Linked DNA regions of Callithrix jacchus. The protein of the gene in region 1 binds, or shares a complex with, the protein of each later gene. Links are inferred from orthologs where the notes say so. Each region holds a gene or a part of one and is shown on either strand. Other genes may lie near its edges. The genes, in order: TAF11, TBP, TAF5, TAF3 and TAF9.

What was found.
Region 2: TAF11 (region 1) and TBP share a complex: the UniProt entries of both Homo sapiens proteins name them as parts of the TFIID basal transcription factor complex. The link is inferred for Callithrix jacchus from reciprocal best matches to the Homo sapiens genes TAF11 and TBP.
Region 3: TAF11 (region 1) and TAF5 share a complex: the UniProt entries of both Homo sapiens proteins name them as parts of the TFIID basal transcription factor complex. The link is inferred for Callithrix jacchus from reciprocal best matches to the Homo sapiens genes TAF11 and TAF5.
Region 4: TAF11 (region 1) and TAF3 share a complex: the UniProt entries of both Homo sapiens proteins name them as parts of the TFIID basal transcription factor complex. The link is inferred for Callithrix jacchus from reciprocal best matches to the Homo sapiens genes TAF11 and TAF3.
Region 5: TAF11 (region 1) and TAF9 share a complex: the UniProt entries of both Homo sapiens proteins name them as parts of the TFIID basal transcription factor complex. The link is inferred for Callithrix jacchus from reciprocal best matches to the Homo sapiens genes TAF11 and TAF9.

Annotation. Positions count from the first base shown.
Region 1 is NC_133505.1:43,126,461-43,129,975, forward strand, and holds part of TAF11 (transcription initiation factor TFIID subunit 11), read right to left. Parts: intron 186-3,515; coding exon 37-185; intron 1-36. UniProt on the Homo sapiens protein: The TFIID basal transcription factor complex plays a major role in the initiation of RNA polymerase II (Pol II)-dependent transcription.
Region 2 is NC_133505.1:177,177,903-177,181,990, reverse strand, and holds the start of TBP (TATA-box-binding protein), read right to left. Parts: upstream 2,813-4,088; 5' UTR 2,718-2,812; intron 2,564-2,717; exon of another isoform or gene 2,197-2,563; intron 321-2,196; exon of another isoform or gene 318-320; 5' UTR 170-317; coding exon 116-169; intron 1-115. Other genes in the region: PSMB1 (proteasome subunit beta type-1), read left to right, coding at 3,845-3,957. UniProt on the Homo sapiens protein: The TFIID basal transcription factor complex plays a major role in the initiation of RNA polymerase II (Pol II)-dependent transcription.
Region 3 is NC_133513.1:96,354,391-96,358,604, reverse strand, and holds the start of TAF5 (transcription initiation factor TFIID subunit 5), read right to left. Parts: upstream 2,807-4,214; 5' UTR 2,793-2,806; coding exon 2,234-2,792; intron 1-2,233. UniProt on the Homo sapiens protein: The TFIID basal transcription factor complex plays a major role in the initiation of RNA polymerase II (Pol II)-dependent transcription.
Region 4 is NC_133508.1:5,916,866-5,919,463, forward strand, and holds the end of TAF3 (transcription initiation factor TFIID subunit 3), read right to left. Parts: intron 2,276-2,598; coding exon 2,169-2,275; intron 1,400-2,168; coding exon 1,285-1,399; 3' UTR 503-1,284; downstream 1-502. UniProt on the Homo sapiens protein: The TFIID basal transcription factor complex plays a major role in the initiation of RNA polymerase II (Pol II)-dependent transcription.
Region 5 is NC_133503.1:140,123,996-140,128,031, forward strand, and holds the start of TAF9 (transcription initiation factor TFIID subunit 9), read left to right. Parts: upstream 1-1,229; 5' UTR 1,230-1,299; exon of another isoform or gene 1,300-1,466; coding exon of another isoform or gene 1,467-1,716; intron 1,717-3,381; exon of another isoform or gene 3,382-3,456; intron 3,457-3,974; coding exon of another isoform or gene 3,975-4,036. Other genes in the region: cell cycle checkpoint protein RAD17, read right to left, coding at 102-111; AK6 (adenylate kinase isoenzyme 6), read left to right, coding at 1,467-1,716, 3,975-4,036. UniProt on the Homo sapiens protein: The TFIID basal transcription factor complex plays a major role in the initiation of RNA polymerase II (Pol II)-dependent transcription.

The DNA.
Region 1 (3,515 bases):
ACCCTTAAGATGGGGAATGATAAGAAGGTGACTTACTGCATCTTCTGAATCTCATCTTCATCTACCTTCTGCTTCTTCTCTTTCTTTTCTTTGGTATCTATTTTCAGTTTTTTGGCTGCAGGAGTAAGTAATGATGAGTCTTCCCTTTCAACTGCTGTTAAATCTGAGACATCCTGACTCTTGAGCTGGGAAGATGAAAGAAACTCTATTATATATTTGCCCTACTTTCCAGGCTAGGGCAAAGTAAGAAGACATCATCCTTATTACAAAATAACAAATCCATTTATTGAGTAGTTTTTCAGTTCTAGGATCTGACTGTACCATCAAGTGTACAATACAGTATCTCTCCTAAGGGAAGATTATAGCTTAGCCGTGGAAAGAAAACCCGCTAAATAATCTAGTTTTCCAGTCCAGCTATGAGCACAGCTCCAGTATCTGCTTACAAGGGTAATGAAATGCCAAGGATCATGAGAACCACTCTCCCTATGGGCCCACTCTTCTGACCTTATTCTTTAGAGGGGTTGTCAGCAAAGTCCCCTCCATCCAGCCAGCTCTTCTGCCTCCAGATCTACAGATCTCTTTACTGCTGCTGATTCCATATAGAATATTAAAAAGGAGGCCTCTTCTCATCAAAACAGTGTTTATTTGGAACTTTCAAGTGAGCTTCTCACATGCAGTGCTCTTCGTTCTTATCCTTCAGTCTTACTGTTTCATGCAAATATTTATTTCACATTACTAGTCTTTTTGAAGATAGGTTTGTCTCTTATTATTTATATCTCTCCCCTATCGGCATTTAACATAATTTTACTAATGCTGAAAGTTTAATAAATGCCTGTTTAAATCCCAAGTAGGCAACCCGAAGTAGGCAAAGACATTCTCAAAAGAAGACATACATGTGGCCAACAATCATATGAAAAAAGCTCAGCATCACTGATCATTAGAGAAATGCAAATCAGGCCGGGTGCAGTGGCTCACGCCTGTAATCCCAACACTTTGGGAGGCTGAGGCGGGTGGATCACGAGGTCAAGAGATCGAGACCATCCTGGTCAACACGGTGAAACCCCGTCTCTACTAAAAATACAAAAAGTTAGCTGGGCATGGTGGTGCGTGCCTGTAATCCCAGCTACTCAGGAGGCTGAGGCAGGAGAATTGCCTGAACCCAGGAGGCGGAGGTTGCTGTGAGCTGAGATCACGCCATTGCACTCCAGCCTGGGTAACAAGAGCGAAACTCCGTCTCAAAAAAAAAAAAAAAAGAGAAATGCAAATCAAAATCATACTGAGGCCTGACATAGTGGCTCATGCCTGTAACCCCAGCACTTTGGGAGGCCGAAGCAGGTGGATCACTTGAGGTCAGGAGTTTGAGAACAGCCTGGCCAATATGGAAAAACCCTGTCTCTACTAAAAATACAAAATTAGCTGGGTGTGGTGGTATGTAATCCCAGCTACTGGGGAGGCAGAGGCAGGAGATTCGCTTGAATCCAGGAGGTGGAGGTTACAGTGAGCCAAGATTGTGCCACTGCACTCCAGCCTGGGCAAAAAGAGCAAAAATTCCATCTCAAAACAAACAAACAAAAAAACTATAAAGAGATACCATCTCGGCTGGGCACAGTGGCTCACGCCTGTAATCCCAGCACTTTGGAAGGCCGAGGCAGGTGGATCACCTGAGGTCAGGAGTTCGAGACCAGACTGACCAACATGGTGAAACCCCGTCTTTAAAAAAAAAAAAAAAGGCCAGGCACAGTGGCTCATGCCTGTAATCTCAGCACTTTGGGAGGCCCAGGCGGGTGGATCACGAGGTCAAGAGATCGAGACCATCCTGGTCAACATGGTGAAACCCCGTCTCTAATAAAAATACAAAAAATTAGCTGGGCATGGTGGCGCGTGCCTGTAATCCCATCTACTCAGGAAGCTGAGGCAGAAGAACTGCCTGAACCCAGGAAGCGGAGGTTGCGGTGAGCCAAGATCGCGCCATTGCACACCAGCCTGTGCAACAAGAGCGAAACTCCGTCTCAACTCCGTCTCAAAAAAAAGAAAGAGGTACCATCTCACACCAGTCCGAATGGCTATTATTCAAAAGTCAAAAAGTAACAGATACTGGCGAGGCTGTGGAGGCAAAGGAAAGCTTTTAAACTGTTGGTTGGCGTATAAATTAGTTCACCATTGAGGAAGGCAGTATGACAATTCCTCAAAGAAATAAAGAAGGAATTACCATTCGACCCAGCAATCCCATTACTGGGTATATACCCAAAGAAATATAAATTGTTCTATTATAAAGACACATGCACACTTTTATGTTCATTGCAGTGCTATTCACAATAGCAAAGACATGGAATCAGCTTAAATGCCCATCAATAATAGACTGGATAAAGAAAATGTATTTTCCAGTATATACCATGGAATACTATACAGCAACAAAAAAGTAGATCATGGCCTTTGCAGGGACATGGATGGAGCTGGAGGCCATTATCTTTAGCAAACTAATGCAGGAACAGAAAACCAAATACTGCATGTTCTCACTAATAAGAGGGAGCTAAATGACGAGAAAACATGGACACATAGAGGGGAAGACACACTGTGGTCTATGGGAGAGTAAAGGGTGGCAGAAGGGAAAGGATCAGGAAAAATAACTAATGGATATTAGGCTTAATGCCTGGGTGATGAAATAATCTGTACAACAAACCCCTATGACACACATTTACCTATGTAGTAAAACACATCCTGCACATGTATCCCTGAACTTAAAAGTTTAAAAACTGCCTGTTTAGGCCGGGCGCAGTGGCTCAGGCCTGTAATCCCAGCACTTTGGGAGGCTGAGGCGGGTGGATCACGAGGTCAAGAGATCGAGACCACCCTGGTCAACATGGTGAAACCCCGTCTCTTTACTAAAAATACAAAAAGTTAGCTGGGCATGGTGGTGCGTGCCTGTGATCCCAGCTACTCGGGAGGCTGAGGCAGGAGAATTAATTGCCTGAACCCAGGAGGCGGAAGTCGCGGTGAGCCGAGATCGCGTCATTGCACTCCAGCCTGGGTAACAAGAGCGAAACTCTGTCTCAAAAAAATAAAAAATAAAAAACTGCCTGTTTAATAACCATAAAAATAAATAGAAACTTCACCCCCTCTGACTGAATGTAGAATCTTAAGTATACTACAAAACTCATTAATGAGATTTAGCTTTTCCTTAAGAAGAATTCAAATTTAAACTCAGACAGGAATATGGAAATGGGGGATGCAGGTGGTCTGTCTTTGACAATCTTTTCAATTTTTTTTTAGTTACTGATTTATACAAGTTTTCTAACTTCTTTGTGCTTCAAGTTCAGTGATTTGTATTTTCTTTAAAAAAAAGTCACCTATTGGCTGGACGCGGTGGCTCACGCCTGTAATCTTAGCAATTTGCGAGGCTGAGGCAGGCAAATCACAAGATCAGGAGATCGAGACCATCCTGACCAACTTGGTGAAACCCCGTCTCTACTAAAAAAAATTACAAAAATTAGCTGGGTGTGGTGGCGCGCAACTGT
Region 2 (4,088 bases), about 130 Mb from region 1:
ATAAAATCATTTTCAAAAACAGATCATTAAATACCCTTCCTTCCCTTTGATACCATCTCTTGAAGTACATATTTCTGCCCTCCCTGTTCTCATTCTCTTCCTCCTGCTGTATTACCTGAGGGGAGGCCAAGCCCTGAGCGTAAGGTGGCAGGCTGTTGTTCTGATCCATGATGTTCACTTCCTTCTTGGCAAACCAGAAACCCTTGGGCTGGAACTTGTCTCACCATTCAATTTTTTCCTAGCGCATCTCCAGCACACTCTTCTCAGCAACTTCCTCAATTCCTTGGGTTATCTTCACACACCAAGAGACAGTGATGCTGCTTTGGAAAAAAGCCTGAAGTTTAATGTAAGGATTCAGGTAACCTGTACAGTCCTATAAGCCAGTTCCATGGCTATACAAAACACAAACAAGAAAACCAATGAAGCTATTTTGGAATACATTGCCTTTTGCTTTATAATCCTGAAGTCTTATTCCTTCCATGTTTCCTGTGATTACATGTAAAATCGCCAACAAAAGTCATTTTGTTACGCATTTAAATACTATGATGATGCATCAAAAACTTTTGAGGAAAAATACTGAGAGGAAACTAATTCCTAAGCAAACTGTAATATCACAGCAGAGTATTCGTTAAGCACTGTATATACAGCACAGTTAAGCAAAGTTCAGATCTTTATTCCAATTTTATATCCTCTATAATGTCTTGGGCAAAAAATTAAGTAAATATACTTCAGTGATCAGTTATTGAGCTCCTACTATAATAAAACTAAAAAAAAAAGCTGCACAAAGATAAAACCCTGCATTTTTGTAAATAATAACCTTACCTCTTTAGAACACATTAATGCAAACCGTGCCTGTTATCTGGCTTTTCTTAAATCATCATCTCTTTACTCATGTCCATATCTGAAATGAGTTTATAATAACAACATATTCTCACCCAGAACTTCAGGTCTCAAAGTTACAAATTATATGTCCAAAGACCCTTCAGGCATATGCACTTCAAGCATGTGCTGGTACACAATAGACACTCAGATATTTGTGAAGGAATGAAAGATTCTGAGGATCGCTTTGAAAGGGCTAAGGCCCCCAGACTCTGTATCCTACCTACTCATCACTGAAAAAATGGCCAAAAAAGAAAGCAAGCGAACTCTGCTTCTGAAAATAAAAATATCAGAGATGTTTTTAAAATTATACTTTTTGACAGTTACCGTATAATAACAATAACAGAAGTGATGCAGATGAGGATGTAAAGATTAGGAGGTTATAGTCCTTGGCATCAAAATGTTCAATATAAAGGGTATGCAAATCATTACTATAAAACATAGTATAATAGCAGGTGTGCCCTAAGCTAAGTTTCTTTTTTTTTTTTTTTTTTTTTTTTTGAGACGGAGTTTCGCTCTTGTTACCCAGGCTGGAGTGCAATGGCACGATCTCGGCTCACCGCAACCTCCGCCTCCTGGGTTCAGGCAATTCTTCTGCCTCAGCCTCCTGAGTAGCTGGGATTACAGACACACGCCACCACGCCCAACTAACTTTTTGTATTTTTAGTAGAGACGGGGTTTCACCATGTTGACCAGGATGGTCTCGATCTCTTGACCTCGTGATTCACCCGCCTCGGCCTCCCAAAGTGCTGGGATTACAGGCGTGAGCCACCGCGCCCGGCCAGCTAAGTTTCTTGAATGTAGAAACCAGTCTTTGTCATCCCTGCATCTAGCACTATGCCTGGAATACAGTATGTGATCATGAATAAGTGCATATATGCCCCTGGAAGAGAAGACATATAGACTAACAGCACACTACTATGAAGAGGGGCAGTGTTTTCACAAAACAAGGACCATCTAACTTGGGTCTCACAAGGTGAATAGGAATTTACAGGTCAGGGCTTCAGATAAACGAGGTAACATTGAAAAAGCATGCCGTATGAAGGTGACAAGCTTAGTATGACTGTATAGGTCACTACAGGAGATGAGACGGCAAATATTGGTAGGCTCTTATCACTTTTTGCACGTAAGTCTACAGAAGAAACCGCACAGTGGTTACTGCACTTTCTCCCTAGAAAAGGGTTGTTTGCTGGGTCTCTTCATCTCTTCGAAATTGAAACATCAAATTCGATATTTTTTGGAGGCAATCTAACTCTGCATAGCCTTCTAGTGTCTGTATATCTAAATGAAGCATAGTCTTTTCACAGAAAAGCCTACCTAGAGATTTGGAAAACCATGATGGCCTGAACCGAGAGATGGGAGGCCCTGTAAACAAAGTGATGTGTACTGTATCTTAAGCGCTACTGTGTCCGCTGTCTCAGGCTTCTGACAAAGTATTTAAGTCTCAATGTTGGTAGCAAAATAGGCGGGCACAGACCACAGTGAATCTGCCTTCAAACATGGAGAAGAAGCGGGTGGCAGGCCAGGGCAGAATAAACTTCGGGTCTTCGATGCAAGGGATTGCCCTGTCCCGCCCGCCGCCGCCGAGCCCGCCAGTACCCTGCGCCCCACGCTCGTATGACGGGAAGCCGCTTGCGAACCACAGCGGAATAGGGCACCAGGCGAAAGCGGCGGCCGAGTGGCCGTTACAGGCCGGAACGGCGGCAGCACGAGCGGGAGGAACGTCCCCTGCAGGGCCTGCGCGCGCCAATTCCTTGTCTCTTCCCCACCATCGCCCCCAGGCCTCAATGCAGTGGTCGCCTCCGCCCGAACCCTCAGAAAAGAGGACAAGCTGTTACCTGGGTCACTGCAGAAATTACTATGAGCCCGCGGAAACGAAGTTAAACAGCCGGCGGCCCAGGCGCCCGCCACAGGAACCCTGCCCGACCCCACTGAACTCCAGGCGCGCGTTGATAATGTCACTTCCGCCAGTTCTGCCCTCGGCTTCAGCGAATTGTTCTCACTGGGGTCGTGGCCATGCGAAGTGTGGGCACTTGCTCACTTCCTGTGTTTCCGTAGGCGTGTAGTTTAAGGGAAGGAGGGGCGAAGCTCTTGAGGAGTTCCGGGACTGGGCGGGCGCACCACCGCTGTCTCTAATTGGCCCTTGCTGGGCATAGGAAAGATCAATTTTTAAATGGTGTGTGTGTTTCAAGCAACTAGAGGCGTTACCGTTGGCAAGTTCCCTGACTTCTTCCCCGCAGTTTCTTCTGTAAAATTTAATAATGATGATACTAGTGCTTAACTTTGGGCTCTCTGGAGACTGACAGTCAATGCCTGAGCAGTGCCTGGCACTCAGTAAGCGCGTGCTCCTTACCTGTCAGCAACAACGCTAGCTGATCTTCAAGCGTGTAGAATGACTAGGAACACTAAGCAAAACACAAGCCGCTTCAGGCACTGTGGTCAAAGGCTCGATCCGCAGTTGTTTCCTAGTGGGACGTCAGCACGCCTTTATTTTACCTTCTATAGTTCGTTTTGGCGGAATCATATATTATACCGCTTGTTTCCTTTGGACTTTCTATTATCAGTGAGGTTGTGAGCTCTTTAAGGATAGGAAATGTTACATACATTTTGTATTAGCCAGGACAATTTAGGCTGTTACTATTATTCCAGTTGCCGTTGCTCCACAGTTTTGGCAAATTTTTGCACGGTCAGACTTTTAAAATTTTGTCCATATGGGTGAATTCCAATCTTTTCTTCGGGGGAAAAACAAAAAACAAAAACCTTAATATCTTTCTGGTAATGGGCAGGACCCAACTATGAAAGGGACTAGCGGCAGAGCAGCCCTCCAGGAGCAACGACTAGTGCGAGATAGAGAGGCCGGGAGCGAGTTACAGGAAAGCCGGAAGTGGCGTAACGTCCGGTCAGGGCGGCCATCTCGCCGTGAGGCAGCAGGAGTAGCGGCCGGAGTTGCGGGCGCTTCAGTGAGATGTTGTCCTCTACAGCCATGTATTCGGGTCCTGGCAGAGAGCTGGGAATGGAGCCGCACAGAGCTGCGGGACCTCTGCAGCTACGATTTTCGCCCTACGCTTTCAACGGAGGGTAAAAACCCTTGAGAGCCGCAGCTTTCACTTTCGCCCTCCCCCCATCTGCTGAAGCCTATTTGGGGGTCACCGCCGCGAAGGCGCTGCCCAGATCCCCTGCAGGCCTCAGAACCCTGAGCTGAGTGGGTC
Region 3 (4,214 bases), on another chromosome or scaffold:
TGATGAAATTACAGGCGTGAACCACTGTGCCCAGCCACACTCACACACATTTCTATTTATGGATTACAATGAAATATGAATACAATGCTATGTATTCAAGCAATGCTGCAAAGATTAGGCCTCATACAGATGAATTTGGCTAAAGGCTCTGCACTGGAGAATTCAATAAACATTTATTGTTAACTCAGGATCAACTGTGAGAACTTATACTGTATATGAGTTTTACTGCATGGACTTTGTGACAACATTTGCTGGGAGAAAGCAGGGGCTAAGGTATTAGGGACAGATACAGAGGCATAAACTTATCAATACCAAATGTTTCACATATACGTATTATAATAGCCTCATAACCACTCATTTAATAGAGAAAATTCAACATGAGAGCCTCCTGACAATATTAATGTAAAAAAAAGAATTTTTTTTTTTTTTTTTTTGAGACCATCTCACTCTATCACCCAGGCTGGAGTGCAGTGGCACGATCTTGGCTCACTGCAACCTCCACCTCCCAGGTTCAAGCAATTCTCCTGCCTCAGCCTCCTGAGCAGCTGGGACCATACCTGGCTAATTTTTGTATTTTTAGTACAAAGGAGGTTGACCAGGAGCGGTGGCTCATGCCTGTAATCTCAACACTTTGGGAGGTCAGGAAGTTACCCGAGGTCAGGAGCTCGAGACCAGCCTGACCAATATGGAGAAACCCTGTATCTACTGAAAAAACAAAAATTAGCAGGGCATGGTAAGGCATGCCTGTAATCCAAACTACTCGGGAGGCCAAGGCAGAAGAATCACTTGCAGTGAGCTGAGATGGCACCACTGCACTCCAGCCTGGGCAAGAAGAGTGAAACTCCACCTAAAAAAAAAAAAAAAAAAAAGGCCTGGCGCGGTGGCTCACACTTGTAATCTTACCACTTTGGGAGGCCGAGGCGGGTGGATCATGAGGTCAAGAGATCGAGACGATCCTGACCAACATAGTGAAACCCCTTCTCTACTAAAAATACAAAAATTGCCAAGGCGGGTGGATCACGAGGTCAAGAGATCGAGACCATCTTGGTCAATATGGTGACACCCCGTCTCTACTAAAAATACAAAAAATTAGCTGGGCATGGTGGCGCGTGCCTGTGATCCCAGCTACTCAGGAGGCTGAGGCAGAATTGCCTAAACCCAGGAGGTGGAGGTTGCAGTGAGCCGAGATCGCGCCATTGCACTCCAGCCTGGGTAACAAGAACGAAACTCCGTCTCAAAAAAAATTAAAAATTACGTGTAATGGGATGCCTGAACACATGATTCTCAAGCTGCCGTATGTCAATACTCCTTAGAAGCACTTATTCAAAAGTGCAGATTCCCATATTCCACCTCTAGAGGATCTGATTCACTAAGTCTGAAGTGATGCCCATGAGCCTGCATCCTCCAAAGACTTAACACTGGTGGTACTACCCATATGTATTTTTAATATTCCAACTTTTAGCTGACAATCGGGGGCACATGATGTGCAGGACTGGTACAAGGGTATATTGCATGGTGGCCAGGCATGTTGGCTCACTCCTGTAATCCCAGCACTCAGGGAGGTCAAGTCCGGTGGGTCACTAGAGGTCGGGTGGTTGAGACCAGCCTGGCCAACATGGTGAAAGCCTGCCTCTACCAAAAATACAAAAATTCGCCAGCTGTGGTAGTAGGCGCCTGTAGTCCCAGCTACTGGGGAGGCTAAGGCAGGAGAATCGCTTGAACCCAGGAGGCGGAGGTTGCAGTAAGCCGAGACTGCACCACTGCACTCCAGCCTGGGCGAGAGCAAAACTCCGTCACAAACACACACAAAAAAAGAAACTATAAAGTATTTACTAACGTATCTTTTAAGAGGAAGTAAAGAAATAAAGAAAAATTAAAGTACGCTAATACGAAACTGTACAAACACTATGTTAGCGTCATGCGGACATGACTAAGGCTCAAAACCCCATATGAGAGGAAAGGAACCAAAAGCCTGAAGGTACCCGCCTCTCCGCGCCCACCTTCACACATCCCTCTGCTCAGCAGCTCTCCTCAGCCTCTCGCTGGAACTGACAGCTCGGAAGGGGGTTTGACTACGCAGCCGGCGCACTAGAGAAAGGGGCGGGCATGTGGCCCTAGAGGCGGGCCCAGGAAATTCAAAACAAGCCCGCAGAGGTGCAGGCCCGCCAGCCCCTGCCTTACCGGCATGCTCCCCTTCGCGGTGGCCGTGCCTGCCCGGGACCCCACGGCTCACCTTTACCCGGAGCCGCAGGACCTGAGGCTGAACCTGAGACGGCCGTGGCCCCCGAAGCGCCAGTACCCGGAGGGTCGGGGGCCGCAGGGCCAGGGGCCGAGGCGGTCACCCGGCTGAGAAGCGCGCTGGCCGCCTCAGCGCCGGCGCTGTCCACCTCTCCCGGGGCTCCGGAGCCCGCCACTGCCTCCTCCAGCAGTCGGGCCTCACGGCGCAGCGCCTCTTCGGCCTCGCGGAGATTGCTCTGCCGTAGGAACTGCAGCACCGCCAGTAGAGTCTGTCGGTCGTGAGGAGCGCCGGCCTCCGGAGCAGCGGCAGGCACCGGGGCCGCCCCCGCCGGGGCAGAGGCAGAGACAGCCACCGTGGGCTTGGGGGTCCCGCCATCACCGCCAGCGGACGACGACGCCGCAACGTTCCCGCCCCCGCCGTTGGGGCCGTTGTTGGTAGTGCCGCCGCTACCCTCGCCTGCGCTGTCCCCCGCCTGCGGAGGTAGCAGCGTTGGCGGTCCCTCAGGCTCTAGCTTAACCGCCACCTCCGTCTGCTCCTCCGCCAGCGCCGCCATCTTGCGGCTGAGCCACCTCGCGCCGTCAAGCGTGATTGCATTTTCGCCGCATGGAGGTCGGGGAGGAGCATTTCACGACAGCTCTAGTAGACCATTTACGGCAGTAGGAGGAGCGAAAAAAAAAGGCGAAACGGAATAGGAATGAGTAACTTTAGAAAACGAGCGATAGAAAGGCAGGAAGTGGGAGTTGATGACCGCCTATTACATTTGCCTGATAATTGCAATTTATTGCAGGCTAGCTTACGCCGTGGCTTACGTCTGTAATCCCAGACGTAACGTTTTACGTTATGTGATCTCCTTCAATTCAATCATTTTATGAGGTAATATTATTTTCACTGCACAGATGGCTTAGCCGAAACCAAGAGAGGTTAAATAATTTACCAGAGTCACACAAGAAGAAAGTCCAAATGTTAGCATTCGAATCCAGGTCTTTAACTTAAAAGCATATACCATTTGCCAGAAGGAGGCTTCTGAGATACTGGTAATGTTTTCTATGACCTGGATAGTGGTTAATTTTTTTTTTTTTTGGCCGTTTTTACTTTTGTAAAAATTAATCGAGCTGCATGCTTTATGAACTTTACACCGTATACATTACTTTTTTTTTTTTTTTTTTTTTTTTGAGATAGAGTCTCGCTCTGTCGCCCAGGCTGAAGTGCAGTGGCCTAATCTTGGCTCACTGCAACCTCCGCCTCCCGGGTTCAGGCAATTTTCCTGCCTCAGCCTCCCAAGTAGCAGGGATTACAGGTGCGGCCCACCATGTCCCACAAATTTATGTATTTTTAGTAAATGCAGCGTTTCGCCATGTTGACCAGGCTGGTCTCGAACTCCTGACCTCAGGTGATCCGCCCGCCTCAACCTCCCAAAGTGCTTAGATTGCAGGCGAAAGCCATATACATTACATTTCAATAAAAAGATTTTAAATAACAGAATTTTGTGGCTGTGAAATATGTACGTTATGTATTCATGCTATTACCTGTTATTATAAATAAGCTATTTTAATTGTATATTTAAAAATCGGCCAGGCGCGGTGGTTTACGTCTGTAATCCCAGCACTTTGGGAGGCCAAGGCGTGCGGATCACAAGGTCAGGATATCGAGGCCATCCTGGCCAACATGGTGAAACCCGGGAGGCGGAGATTGCAGTGAGCTGAGATCACGCCACTGCACTACAGCCTGGGCGACAGTGCGAGACTCTGTCTCCAAAAAAAAAAAAACAAATCATGGCCCGTTGCGGTGGCTCACGCCTGTAATCCCAAAACTTTGAGAGACAGAGGCAGGTGGATCACCGGAGGTCAGGCGTTCCAGACCATCCTCTCTAACATGATGAAACACCATCTCTACTAAAAATATAAAAATGTAGCCGGACGTAGGTGGCAGGCACCTGTAATCCCAGCTACTCGGGAGGCTGAGATAGAAGAATCAC
Region 4 (2,598 bases), on another chromosome or scaffold:
TCTATATAACATATAATAAATAGTGGGAGTATAAGAATACAATAAAGTTTTGTGATACCCTGAAATTTGATGTTTTCTTAAAAAAATTCATAATATACTTCATTTCAGCCTTAAAGCACAATATTAATGAACAGATTTGTAGAAATAAAAACAATATAAAGAAAATGCTACAGTATAAGTGGGTTTTTTTTTTTTTAACTTTCATGGAAACTACATGTCCTTTTAGTAAAAGTCTGTCAAAGAAATTTACAAAAACAAAATAGACAACAAACAAAACAACTTCAAATCATAAACTAGAAATTCAAATTGCCTTGTTTTCCTTCCAGCTGCTTGGGCCCTTTCCCCTACGATCTTTTCGGCCACTGCACAGGTTCAGCTCAAGGGAAATGTCTTTGAACGATGGCTTTTTCTCCAGCCTTCTTTATTTCTGTCCAGCGTCAATACAGACACGGCTGAAATCATAGTGGATTTCAGAGAAAGCCAGAATTAAACACGATAAAAATTTAAAAAATAACTACTTCATAAATATTTATTATTTACAGTAGGGGCAATCTTTTAGTCTGAAGAGTTTTTATACAAGTTGATGAAATGTACAAGCAGCGAGAAGACACTCCAGCAGTTTAAAGAAGGGCAAAATTAGAATGCAACGAAGATATAAAATACATTAAACAAAAATAATTTGCACAAAAGCAAACAGGACATGATAGAAACCTTTTTCTTAAAAAATATAAGGTATTTCACAAAAGCCTGAACATTTTACATGTTAGTACTAAAAACGGGGGAAGGAGGGAAGCTTCATATATTCTTATCACAAAAATATTTACCAGTACTCCAGCTGGAGTTTTCCTTTATGTTGTTATGATTATCTTACTACAGAGGGAGGGGGCTGAAGACTGTATACAGACTCTACCATCCTTAAGTTACAGTCAAAGCAGTTTACATCATCTTCTCATCTAATACCTCCATGAAAAGGCCCTGGAGAGAAGGAAGGAAGTCAAAGGGAAGATGTACGCTCTTTTTATTAATAATACTTGTCACTGGCATTAGAGAAGAGGAGGAGGGGCAGCCCCCAGGCCACGCCTCTGCTTGAGTTTCCTTCCGGGGCCCGGCCACGGAGCCATAGGCCAACACGGTTCGGGAGTGAACAATCCAGGTTCGAGGTGTGTTCCTGCCTCAGTCCTCCCGGGTTCTTCATCCACGGGCATCTGGGGGTGGATGTGGAGGCAGAATTGCACCAGCTCCCTTCCTGAGCTGACCCCACTTGACCCTGACCCTGGCGAGCCGTCAGTGCGCTCGATGCTTCCTCTTCTTGTGCTTTTTGTCCTTCTTCTTGTTTGCACACTTGGGGCAGAACCACTGCATCTCTTCTGGGGGTGCAGCCATGATTCCAACACAGGGCCTACACATGAAAACAAGCTCAGATCAGCAACTTCTATATATACGTCTATTCTTCTCCTTCAATGTTTCACAGTAATTTTTAAAAGTCTATGACATGTTTCCCAAAATCAAAGTCAAGCAGCACTAACTCGCAGCACTATTGTTGGGCAGGCAGACTGTGATATTACAGAAGCTTCCTTCCCAGCCCTGCTGAGATTCATCAGCTCATTCATCCTGCCAGCCAGGAATCGGAGTCTTCTGAGCCAAGGCTTGTCTTTATCTTAGAGATATCATATATCGTAACTTAATAGATCACTATTCTTTTTGTATCTGACATTTTAAAGCTAACACGAGATTATCTGCATAAATTTTGGTTGAGTGTTTCAGTTTTTAGGAACTGCTGAAGAGGTTTACGACACAGATAAGCAGTCTTTAGTCCTGCAGTTTGTACCGTCCTTACAAAGGGGCTGCCTCTTTGTGGTTCTGGCCAGTGCTACAGTTCCTACGGAACACTACCTGAAAGCAAGGCCAGGGACACCCATGCATCTCCTTTTATTACTGTTTTAATAAGAAGGATCGATAAGCTAAGCAGAGTATTCAGATTTGGGGTGAATAACAATAGTCCGAAGACTCTTGGGTTTTGCAATGAACTGCACTTCACAGGCTCTGTGATTTGACTCCAGGGCAGCCCTGCATCAGTCCAAAGGCTGGAATCTACTCTGTGGATGCTTCATCTCAGGAGCAGAGGATGCTGCCTGAGAGTGTGGCCGGCAGGGCGCCTGGGCACTTACCAGTGGTACCAGTCATCACAGTCGTCACAACCAATCATTGGACTCCCATCATCAGGCTTGTTACACCCAGGGCAGATCCAGATCTGATTGCCCCACTCATCTCGGATCTGATGTTTGCGAAGTGGGAGCGGGAAGAACGGAGGCGATGTGAAAAAAAACAGGGAGAGACCAGATCAGAATAATTACTTTATACTGTTAACTGAATAAACAGGTACATTAAACTAAAAAATACAGATTAGCACTTCATTGGCACCATGATCAGTGTCATCACTGGTTTAGAATCACGAAACAGAAAAACGCTAACAAGTGTTCAATGATAAGACATTTCTAACGAATATTCTAAGCTTTCTGTTGTAGGTCATAAAAAACAAACATTTTAGAATCATCTCTGTGAACAATATGACCTGTAGCCCCTTTCATAAAAACAAAC
Region 5 (4,036 bases), on another chromosome or scaffold:
AAATAAACTACTTGTGGTGTTACAAACGGAGTTTTTCACATGAACTCAATGACGTATTTGAGAAAAACAGAAAAAAAAAATTCACAAACTGTTCTACTTACCTTTTGTCATTAAAATCAGGCAATTCTATTTGAGTAGTTTATATACTGAAAATTAAAGTTTTCCTTATTTCAAATTACAGTTGCAGTTCTTCATTTCCAACATTTCCCAAAAAATAAAATACAATGAATTCACTTGCTGTGGACAAAGAATTTAAATCTTACTGTAAAACTGTTTTCATTTGATCATGTTATTAGAAAATTTCTTAGTAACACTGTTTTTCAATTGTGTTTTCAAATTCTTAAACCTTTATGCAAACTAGTGAATTCAACAATTTTAAGTTAGCCAGAAGAGAATTTTAATGCCTACAAATTTATACACTGGAAAGTATACTGAACTATTTTACAGTTTGGAGCACACATCGCCTATAAACACCCCTACGTACTAGAAAACAAATTGCTGGCCTTTCGTCCCAAATCGTTCACGGTTAGACTTTGACGTTTCAAATGGTACACAGTTGGTAAAAAAACAAACAAAACATTTGAGTAAATATAGTTTGTAGCTCGAAATAAAAGATGCAGACTGTTGTCACCGTCAGGACTCTATTCACTCTTTGAAAACAAGATTGACAATTACCTCCTTTTAAAAGCAGGTAACTGTCCCTGAAGATGCCAGATTCCTGAAATGAGATGTCAGAGGTAGACCTTCAAGACTATTCCTAGCCGACCCACCACCACCCCACACAGTGAACAGGGAATACTAAGGTCAAATATTCGTCCAACGTAATCCTGTAATCAGTAGGGTGCCGGGTTGAGCTCGCAAATCCCCGCTGCAGGACTGGGCTCTGCACCCTCAATCTTCTCATCCCCAGATGGGACGGGCGGGTCAGGAGGAGGAGCGACGAGAGCCCAAGAAGGCTTGAAGGCAAAGATAGACTCGCGTCTCTAAGACATATACATATTATAGCGGCAGCCGCGGCGGCCTTACGTTCCCGGAGCTGCATTCCCTTTTCGGCGAAGAGCGGAGGCGAACAGGATCTACCCCGAGTGAAAGGGTAGCCACCTGGCCGTATCCGGGCCTCTCTGAGGTACGGCCTCCCGGGGACCTTTCAAAATGGTCGGCGCATCCGCGACGCAACCGAAGGGCGGGGCCCGCCGGAGTGTGTGACTTAGGCATCCAGCGCACTGCCTGACCCGAAGCACCGACCCGAGTTATGCCCACCCTTCAACTTTGCGATGGAAACGTGTTAGGGAAAGCTAGGTAACTAGTGGGCCGCAGCTGGGCCGCCGGGGCAGGCCGGGGACGCCGCGGTGGGCCTGGAGGTCCTTGGGGCCCGTGGGCTCTCACTGCCGCCCGCCCCTTCCGGCTCCTCCCCGTAGTGCAAAGGGCGCTTGAGCGAGGTGATCGGAGCAGTTGCAGCGAGGACCATGTTGCTTCCGAACATCCTGCTCACCGGTCAGGGCGCGCGGCCGGGAGGGGCTGGGAGGGGGCAGGCGAGGTTTGCGGAGTGCTCTGGGCCTCGGGCCCCGCTCAGTGTTCTGTTTGGAGGCCTCCCGAGGGCCGCGAGGCGGCTGCAGCGCCCCGGGAGCCGACCCTCACGGGCTTGGCAGGAGGTGGGGGAGGGGATGCGGAACGTTAATTCCGGTGGCCCGAGACTTCCGGGGGAGGAGGAGAGAGGTCGGCAGATCAGCTCTCCTGCTTGGCAGTCTGCTTAGTCTTTCTGAATCTGGTATTTTGTGTGTAAAATGGGTTGTTGATTCTTTGGCAGGGTTGGCTTTGGGATTTTTAGCGAAATAGTGTAAGGTCACATCTGTTCTCCAGTAGAGCCATTAATGGTGGAGGCCTCACTCCTTAGGCCTCCCTGGGCCATATTTTATTTTTTCCTTTGCTCCTCAGATCAGATTTCGGGAAATGACTTTAGATGTTTGTGGTGTGACTAAATTACTGTATGCCTTTGTTGAGTTACATCAGAGGTTCTCCCCAGCCCCTTAAAGGAGAGGAATCTAGTGAGCATTTCGGGTCGTTTCTCGCGTAGGAGTGGGTCTTTGAAGCCATACTCAGGGTGCGTGTTACCGGTGAAGGAACTAAAATGCTGCTGCGTAACGACTTCATCGAATATTTTAGTCCTTAAAGTGTTTATTAAATTGTAGACCATTCGTGGAAAAATCTAATGCATGTAGATTTTATTGGAACGTACCGAAAAATTAAGAGTCGGTGGAAATAAAGCAGTAAAGTTACAGCGTTCATCTAAACATAAGATGATTTGCAGCGCACAAGACATGTCTGTTTCTGAGAGGTGCCGATTAACCAGGCCACAAATAATGTTTAGCATTTAAGATTTCTTAAGTGGAAGATATCACATCTTTTTGCATGGATCAAACATAGTGCCTTGGTTATTAATATTGTGTCATTGTCAAAACTTTAAAGTGAGCATTTTATTGAAAACATAATTGAGTCCAGGGTTCAGACTTGGTGAATTATAGTGGACTTGAGGTAACTGTTAATCTCTTCCGTGTGGGAACTGGATTATCCCTGTTATCTTTATGCTCAAGTTTAATTTCAGGGATGTTAAACCTGAATAGCTGAAAATTACAAATTTGATCTTGAAGTGTAATTATAATAGGTATCAAAAGGGGAAGGTAAGAAGCAATGTATAGTATGTAGTATTGTCATTTATGTAAAAGGGAATATATGTTGTATTTATGTATGTATATACAAAGTATGTATATACATGTACATTCATATGCAACATAAATAGGGTTTCTCTGGGAAGATATACATGTATGGGAAACTGGTTCACAGTGGTTGTCTCTAGGGAAGGGTGCAAGGGGTAAGACTGCTTACATTTTAACATGAACAGTTTTTGTTTTTGTTTTGGGACAGTCTCATTATGTTGCCGGGGCTGGTCTCGAACTCCTGAGCTTAAGCAATCCCCCTGCCTTGGCCTCCCAAATTGCTGGGATTACAGGCATGAGCCACCACACCTGGCTATGAACAGTTTCTTAATCTATTTAAATTAAAGCAAATATGCCGGATGGGTGGCTCATGCCTGTAATCCCAGTACTTTGGGAGAGGGAGGTGGGCAGATTGCTTGAGCTCAGCCTAGGCAACATAGCGAAACCCCATCTACAAAAATTAACCAGGGCATGGTGGTACACACTATGGCCTCGTCAACTGGACATGCTGAGATGGGAGGATTGCTTGAGCCCGGGAGGTTAAGGCTGCAGTGAGCCAAGTGCCACTGCACTCCACCTGAGCAACAAAGAGATATCTTGTCTTTAAAAAAAAAAAGTAAATAAATGACTGTAATTGATTTGAGGTGGTTAATTTTATTCTGAACAGTTCCATGGTAGTAGCAGGCAGTTTGAATCTGCGACAGAATCTGCTGAGCCTCACCCTTGAAGGATCAATAACTGGGTAATATTTTGACATTCAGTTAGCTTTGGAAAATTTTTATTAGATCATAGACATATTGAGGTGGCTCATGCCTGTAATTCCAGCACTTTGGGAGGCTGAGGTGGGCGGATCACCTGAGGTCAGGAGTTCGAGACCAGCCTGGCCAATATGGGGAAACCTCGTCTCTAAAAATTCAAAGATTATTAGCTGGGTGTGGTGGCAGATGCCTGTAATTCCAGCCACTCAGGAGACTGAGGCAGGAGAATCACTTGAATCTGGGAGGTGGAGGTTGCAGTGAGTTGAGATTTTGCCACTGCATTCCAGCCTGGGTGACAAGAAGGAAACTCCATCTCAAAAAAAAAAACTTACATATGATTGCTAATTAGAAGATTTTTCATTTCATTCATTGAGAACCTTAAGGGCAGAGACCAGGGGAGACTCTGTCTCAAAAAAAAAAAAAAAAAAAAAGGGCAGAAGGTGGGCTACAGTGTGATGAGTAGTATTTCACAAACAATATTTTTCTGTGGCTTATCTTACAGGTACACCAGGGGTTGGAAAAACCACACTAGGCAAAGAACTTGCATCAAAATCAGGACTGAAA